Canis lupus familiaris: one gene and its partner. The protein of the gene in region 1 purifies or fractionates together with the protein of each later gene. This does not show direct contact. Links are inferred from orthologs where the notes say so. Each region holds a gene or a part of one and is shown in the gene's direction. Other genes may lie near its edges.

Region 1 (4,243 bases):
TTCCCGCCCTAGACCTCAGACAGACCCCATCAGTCGCTTCAGTCCCTCATTGGCCAGCGGGGAGCACAGGGGAAGGGAAAGGGCCTTCCATTTTGCTCTCTGAAACTACCCACTCCGGTTCCCTGGTCTTCTCATAGGCCGTCGGGAGAGCAATGAGAGCCCGGAGCTGCCGCGCACGCGCGCGGAGGAGCCCGCCGGAGGCGGGGCACTTCCCCTTTCTAGCAGGAGCATTCATCGCGCTGTTGTGACGTAGCGGCGCGCCGCTCGCCGTCCTCACTTACGATTGGCTGTGGCAGAAGCCCGTCACACAGCCACGCCCCACTCCTCAGCCTAACCTCCCCCTTCGGAGCCCGCCCGGGAGGCCACGCCCCACCCCGGTCCCGCCGCTTAGGCCTGCGATTGGCTGAGGGAACCGGCATGGTTACCCGCCTCCTACTCCCTCCCCGAACGTCCGAGGCCGGCGGGACCCCGCGGAAGGGGTCCGTCAATCTCCTCCTTCCCCACCCCTCGCCAGCCCCTCCCCCGGCCGCGCGCACACGCACACGCACACGCACACGCGCACACTCTGCCCGCGTCCTGCCCCCTCCCCCCGCCCCTGCGTGCGCCCTCCGCCTTCTCGAGTCGTTAGCGGCCGCTCGCCGGGGCTTGTCCGTGGGCGGCGGAAGGGCGCGCGGGGGAGGGCGCTCGGACCGCGCGGCGCCGCGAGGAGCGAGCGTGCGCGCCCAGAGCCCCGCGGCGGGTCACCGCCCCGGGAGATGAGGGTCCGGCGCTGACGGGGAAGAGCGGGCACCGCGGCGGCGGCGGCTCGGAGGGGCCCCGCGATGGCAGCGCCTCGGGAGGAGGCTGCGGGCAGGGCGGGCAGCGCGGGCAGCGCGGGCAGCGGCCGCTGAGGGGCCGCCGGCCGCAGCGCGGGGCTGAGGAGGAGCGAGGCGCGCGCGGCGTCCGCACCCCCGCGCCGTCGCCGCAGTTGTCCAAACTTCGGGCTCTCTTCCACCCGCTCTCCGCGCCCGGAGTCAACAACTTCTTCACCCCCCTCCGTCCCCGCCCTCGCCTCCGTCAGCCCCGGGAGGCGGCGGCCGCGCGGCGGGGACCAGGAACCGCCGGCCCTGAGATGTGGCCGTGAGGCGGCGGCGGCGGCGGGCGGGCGGCGCGGAGAAGCTCGGCGGCGCCCGGGAGCCGGAGGGCGGCGCGGCCGCGGGGACGGGGACGGGGCGGAGGGGCGCGAGCTCCCCGCGCCTCTCCCCCCGCCTCCTCCTCCTCCTCCTGCCGCTGCCCGTTCCCTGCACGCAGCAGCCGGAGCTGCCAGGCGCCAGGGCCGCGGCGATGTCGTCGTCGTCGTCGTCGCCGCCGCCGCCGCCGCCGCCGGCGGGGGCTGCCGGCGCCGCCATCTCGGCCTCGGAGAAAGTGGACGGCTTCACCCGGAAATCGGTGCGCAAGGCGCAGAGGCAGAAGCGCTCGCAGGGCTCGTCGCAGTTCCGCAGCCAGGGCAGCCAGGCGGAGCTGCACCCCCTGCCCCAGCTCAAAGGTAACCTCCGAGGGGGCCGCCCCGGGGCGGGGGGAGCGGGAGTCGCGTCCCTCGCGTTGCCTCCCGGCGCCCGCGCCCGCGCCCGCATCCAACAGGTTTGCTCTGCAGAGTTTGCTGCAGATGCCAGCCCCCTGCCCACCTGCGCGCTCGCTCACCTGCGCCCGCGCCTGCAGCTCTGCGGCTCAGCCCCCGCCGGGCGGCTCTTCGCGCCGGCCCGGGGCGCGCGGCGCGGGGGGTGGGGGTGGGGGTGGGGGTGGGGGCTCCTCCAGCCTGCCCTGCCCTGCCCTGCCCTGCCCTGCCCTGCCCTCCGAGACCCTCCTCCGCTCTTCCGACGCTTGGCACTGCCCCTTTACTGCTTCAGTCGGCCGGGCGTCTGCGCGCACCCTCGCCTCCCCTTGCCCGCGGAGGGAGCGACCCCAGTTGTCACAGCGAGCGGGCCCTCGGTGGCCGTCCTGCCGCAGACCGCGACGGGGAGTCGGCTGCCCGGCACACCCGCTCCTGAAGAACGGGCGTGAAAACCCCACTCGTTCGTGCAGCGCCTTATTTGCTGGGTCGTTTAGGTTCACGTGGTATCGTTAACTCCGAGAGTGGAAAGACTCCGAATACTTCGTTGCCGGGGAAGATATAGACATAGATACACACACGTACACGGTAAAGTTGGGGAAGTTGCAAAAGAGTCCATAAATCCAGTCGCTTTGCAGCGGATTGGGAACTTGGTTCGCGAAGCAGGGATTCCAGGGGACCGCGTAGGTCTGGACAGTGATTCAGATTCGTGCCCGCGCGCAGGGCTTTGCAGGAGAGCTTGGCGCTCCTCGGCGCGCGCGTACTTTTCCCACAAGGGCTCAGGGGACTTTTAATAAAATGTTTCCCGGTGGTCTGGTTTATTCTTGGTGCGTTATTCTCTTTACATTTTGTAGTGTTCGTGTCTTCGCTTCTCTGTGAGAGAGAGAAATTCGCTCGGAACGAGAGGATAACCCTCCTAGATATTTCAGACAACTCTTAGCACAAAAGAAACCTGATAGAAATCTAGATCCTCTGTTTTGCGAGGCCTGGAAATTAAAGGCTCATGCTAAAATAGAATCGGCGGTGAGATTTTTCGATCCGTTTCGCCTCCTTCAAGGATAATCTGGTTCTGATTTGTCTTTGGACCTCGCCTGAGTCTGGCTAGGAGTCTAAAGAAAACCCCAGATCGAATCACAGTTGACCTGCGATAGATCTGGAACCCCGTTCAGACCCTATACTGCCCTGTCTTTTGGGGGTGCTTCTAAATCAGGGACCTCCACAGCCAGAATCCAACTAGCTTTTGAAAGGTTTTATTGAAGAAACGTGTAGCGTAACGTGTGTGGCTGCATTTATCGTTTGCCATGCAGCATGCAAAAATGGTTAAAATTTACATATCATAGTCCTTGGTAAACCACAGTGGTAGGCATTGCCAAGATTTTAATTCTTGAGTGATATCATAGCTATAAAAGAATATCGTCTTACCTGTTAGGACATTGGATTGCTATTCATGGATTTCAGTTGTAAACTTAATTAAAACGTTTTTAAGTCATTGATTTTTTCCCATTAAATTGTGGAATTTCTCATAATCGGAAGTTTGCTGCTAGTGTTTTTCATATTTATTAAATTTGCTTTTTTAGTAAGGTATTGTGGGTCCTTACTATTGTCCTTATTAATGCATTTACTTTTATTTAATAAAAATAGTTGCATATTAAACATGGTTAGGAGATGGAGTTTTAATGCAGTTTTTAAAAGCTTGACAAAAATATGCAGAGCCAGTAATCCTTTTAAATTATATGGTGCATAGTTCAACAAGTTGAAGGTGCCATTGAGTTTTTGTTTTTTTTTGTTTTTTTTTTTTTTTACAGTATTTGGTCACTAGTGGAGAAAAAATAAAATTGGAACTTTAGATTAATTCTGCATATTTAACATGAAAATACAGTGTTCTTTAAAAGGAAAGTTCAGGTATTCGAGGTAAATTTATGCAAATATAATTGTGGAAATAAGACCCTTACTGGGATTACCCACTAATAAGAGCTACTTATACTCCAAATGCCAAAAGGCTTGAAAAGTGCTTTTAAAAAAAAAAAATCCAGTTTCTTCACATGGTACTTGGCAGTGTGCTTGATACCACAAAGTTGTGTGCTTTTTTCTGTCTGTAGTAGTTTTTTCCATTTGTGGTCTTAACAAAAACCAGTGGAAAACCCTTTAGTATGTGTATGAAAGAGAATTTTTCTTCCTGCTCTGAAATATAATCTTCCTGTGGAGAGATTCAGATATTTGTGGGCAACCAAGATCTTTCAAGTGTTTATACTAACCTGCTTATGTTACACTTTGTCCACATGGATCTAAGCTGGAAAGGTGCCAGCTATTTTCCTCAAAGCTTACTATGGGTAAGGATTAACAAAATAATCCAACTTTTTCATCTATAAGAAGTTTATTTGTGCAAAATCATTTACCAAGTAGGTTGCAGGATTTTAATAGGGAAAATGTTCAGAGAAAACTATTTTGTTATAGAAAGTTTTTAATAAAAAAGCCTTGTTAAAAGGATTTTTTAAAAAATTAGGACCTGCCATGTGGGTCCTGAAAATTCAACTGCCTGATTTGTATAGCTTAAAAAATTTTTTTTCTAAGCATTTTTAAATGTTCTTGTTATGTTAATTCTATAAGCTCCCCCTGAGAACTATGTACTAGAAAATAAAAACAGAGGCATTTTAT
Region 2 (3,645 bases), on another chromosome or scaffold:
CACAGCCGACTCTCCATCTTGATGCAAGGAAGTGAGGTGGGTTACATAGTGACCGTTTCAAGTGAAGTTCTAAATGAAAAAAAAAACTATTGGATCATTTGAGAAAAAATAAAAGAATGTATTTTGAAGGTTACGACAAGGAAGGCCTGCTTTCTAAGATAGCGGAAAATCTGAAGGAAGAGATTGGTAAGTGGTTTTGTAGATGTGAAAACCTTTGTGCGACCAAAACCAACACAAAGTCGGAAAGAAAAGTGACATTTAGGGAGAAAGTATTTTCTGCCTGTGTCACTGGCCGTTCATAGTAAGACTAGAGGTTTTGGTAAACTCTGGAAAAGCCGTGAGCCTCCCAGTGGAAAGTGGACGGAAGGGGTGAGCGGGTCCCAGGTGAGGACGGGGTGTAGATGGCCCAGATGCCAGCCTGTGGGCTCCCAGGGGCACGACGAGAACCGGGGCATGCTGTGGTGAGGCTCGGCGGCGACAGGCGGCCCCATGTCCCCCGCCCTCAGGCGCGTCCTACCCGGGTATGTGTCGGGGCTGCCACAGGCTGAGTGGCCAGCAGATTGGGGCGTCGCCCGCCGCCCAGGTAGACCTCGAAGGTACCGGGTGTGCGCCGTGATCGGGGGGCTCCATGGCTCCGCCTTCAGCCGCCACTGACGTGTGTTCCTCTTGGCAGGTGCGGGTCCTGGCGGGAGCCTGTGCATCCCTACTACGTCAGCTCCGGCTACGCCCTCGCCCCGGCCACCAGCGCCAATGACAGTGAGCAGCAGAGCCTGTCCAGTGATGCCGACAGCCTGTCCCTCACCGACAGCAGCGTGTGAGTCCCCCCTTGGGCGTGGGCCATGCCCACCGCGTCGTGTGCCCCCTGCACCCCCACCGGCATAGCCGGGCTGCATCATTAAGGATCCGGAACTTGCAGCAGCTGCTTGTCTCTGAGGCCACGGCTGCTGGCACCTTGGAACGGGGGGAGCTGTCAGGGGGCTCACCGTACAGATGGGTGGCCGAGCAGGGCGGGTGGGGCGGCCCCCGGCCAGGCCCTGCTGTGCACAGGTGCCTCGTGCTCCGTGCCTTTCTGTCGTTTGAAATTTTGTCCCTGTCACATACTCTGCGTAGGACATGGGGAGGCAAGAGCTAAGGGCACTGGTACGGCCGGTCCTGTGCAGGGATAGCGCAGGGCCGCACGTGCCCAGAGGCCGTGGGAACCATCCAGAGCCACCTGGAGCTTCGTGTCCCCCAGGGATGACAGTGCACCTAACTCTTCCATCGTCCTCTTGATGGGAAAGTACCTATTTTCTGACACTCTCCTTTGCTTTGACAGGTGGCTTTTGGGGACCCAAACGCACATCACAAGTTTGATGTAAGACACTGTGTCGTTATATCAGGGCCTTACCCAGCCAGCCTGCCAAGGTCATTCGTGGTCCTGGCTGCCCGCGAATGTCACATTCACCCCGTTTTCAGTCTGGGTGCCATCCACCATCTGACTGCCGCTGCCGGGAGGTCCCTGGCCAGGGCCCGAGCAGGTGTGCGGTGTCCCCCGACCCCCACTCCGAGACGGCAGGGGGCCGAGGGCCAGGACTGCGCAGGGGTGGGAGCAGCCGCTGTCAGCTGGCTGCCTGTGGGGCGGCGGGGGCGTGGCTTTCTTCCCCAGCCAGCTTGCTTCCTCATGGGAAAAACCGTGGACAATCAGGATTAAATAAAAAAGGAAGGGTCACTAAACCTGTAGAGAAGACATCATAAAATTGTGGTCCCACTTCCTGTGGGGTTTTCACAGTCGGTGCCTCCTCTCTGCCTGTGTCCCCATGTTCTTCCCGCCGCCAGACAGGCCTTTTCCCAGCCACAGCAGTGCGCCCCCTGTCGCTGCGCATCTGGGGCACGCACCTTCTTTTCCTCTTTGGACCCAAGCTGGACCCGTCCCTTCAGATTGAACTTCTGTGTGTGGTTTTTCTCATTCGTTACCCTTTGTTCAGGTAAAATGTTGACGTGTTTAGCAACTTCTTATTTGAAATGGCTGTGTTTTCAGCAGTACCTGCCACGACCCCCACCAGCAGGTGACGGCTCGGGATTGTGCATTTGTAGCATTGGGTTTTCTCTTCCCTGAAACTGATTACTACAGTGAAAATCCATTTGTCCGCGCACTTTTTCTCGAAAAGTCTCTTAATTCTTTCACAGAAAATGACATATGGTTCCTAAATGAAAGATTTGAAGTTTCTAAAATATGGGATGCCTGGGTGGCTCAGCCATTGAGTGCCTGCCTTTGGCTTAGGGCATGACCCCAGAGTCCCGGGATCGAGTCCCACATCGGGCTCCCCTCAGGGAGCCTGCTTCTCCCTCTGCTTGTGTCTCTGCCTCTCTTTGTGTGTCTCTCGTGCATAAATAAATAAAATCTTTAAAAAACAAAATAAAATAAAATAAAATAAAATTTTATTTTATTTATTTTTTTAAATTTTTATTTATCTATGATAGTAGGCAGAGGGAGAAGCAGGCTCCATGCACTGGGAGCCCGATGTGGGACTCGATCCCGGGTCTCCAGGATCGCGCCCTGGGCCAAAGGCAGGTGCTAAACCGCTGTGCCACACAGGGATCCCAAAATAAAATTTTAAAAATATTTTTTTCCTGATAACTCTATCTTGGTTTACACTAAGATTCAGAAATACAGGCATAGTTGATTTGGAATGTAAAATATTTGAATATATATCAAGCAAAAAGTAGGATTGTGGGTTTCATCTAAATTATCTTGTAGCGGGCACAGCTGCCCTCAGCATGCCAACCACACAGTAGAGACGGTGGCTCACTGCACTTTGTGCACGGGTGTCTAAGGACAGTGTCTAATCCACAGAGGCATGTGGAATGTTTAAATTCCTGGTCAAAGCATATAAGAAACAAAAATTTGGTGGCCCTGGACACTGGAATGGAACTCCAGGGGCATGTAAAGATGTTTTAAATGCATTTGACTCACCTGTTCCTTGACATCTGCCCCCTTGGGTGCCCCTGCCAGGCTGCTGAGCCAGTCACATTGCACACCAGCTGGTGCCCTGACAGCCAGGGACACTGAGGCAGTGACAGGAGAGACAGGCTGTCCTGGATTCTTCCTCCCTTGCTCTGGCCCAAAGTACACCCTCCCCCTGGATGGAACCCCTGAGACATGTGATTTTAGGGGGAGAACATTACTTTCCTGCCTGCCGACACAGCCACTGAGCTGCTGGGTGTGAGGCGGGGCCAGGACATCCTGGGCACCTTGGGCGGCAGGTGGCAGCTTTACTAGGTTGCACAGCAGTTAATGAGGTGAGGTCAGAATTGTGGCTGCGTGGTTGACCCCTGCTGTCAAGTGAGAGCAGCACTGTTGCCCAGCCGCCACCCTGGGGCCGTGCTTGGGAGGGAGGCCGGGTCGCAGATCTTGACTGCAGCCCCTGGGGAACACGGAGGCCGAGGCCTTCCAACAGCCAGACGACCTAGACGAATCCGTTCCCGCCGTCAGAGCTGGGAGCCCACCTGGGAGTCCTTGGGTGAGGAGGAGACGGGCCTGGGAAAGCCACTGACCAGGCGTCTTCCTCTGGCGGGCGTTGTCCGTCCTGTTGGCTCCTGTGAACCGCTGAGCTTCCAGAGGCCCTTCACGTAGCAGGGGAGCACGGGGAGTTCCAGGGATGGCGC

Evidence for each region. The genes of interacting proteins can lie anywhere in the genome.
Region 2: the proteins of PPP2R5A (region 1) and AXIN1 purify together in Homo sapiens (affinity purification with western blotting; 3 studies listed by BioGRID and IntAct, with this or other methods). This does not show direct contact. The link is inferred for Canis lupus familiaris from reciprocal best matches to the Homo sapiens genes PPP2R5A and AXIN1.

The regions. Positions count from the first base shown.
Region 1 is NC_049228.1:10,355,267-10,359,509, forward strand, and holds the start of PPP2R5A (serine/threonine-protein phosphatase 2A 56 kDa regulatory subunit alpha isoform), read left to right. Parts: upstream 1-1,308; 5' UTR 1,309-1,323; coding exon 1,324-1,525; intron 1,526-1,680; exon of another isoform or gene 1,681-1,752; intron 1,753-4,243. UniProt on the Homo sapiens protein: The B regulatory subunit might modulate substrate selectivity and catalytic activity, and might also direct the localization of the catalytic enzyme to a particular subcellular compartment.
Region 2 is NC_049227.1:40,663,587-40,667,231, forward strand, and holds part of AXIN1 (axin-1), read left to right. Parts: intron 1-673; coding exon 674-814; intron 815-3,645. UniProt on the Homo sapiens protein: Component of the beta-catenin destruction complex required for regulating CTNNB1 levels through phosphorylation and ubiquitination, and modulating Wnt-signaling.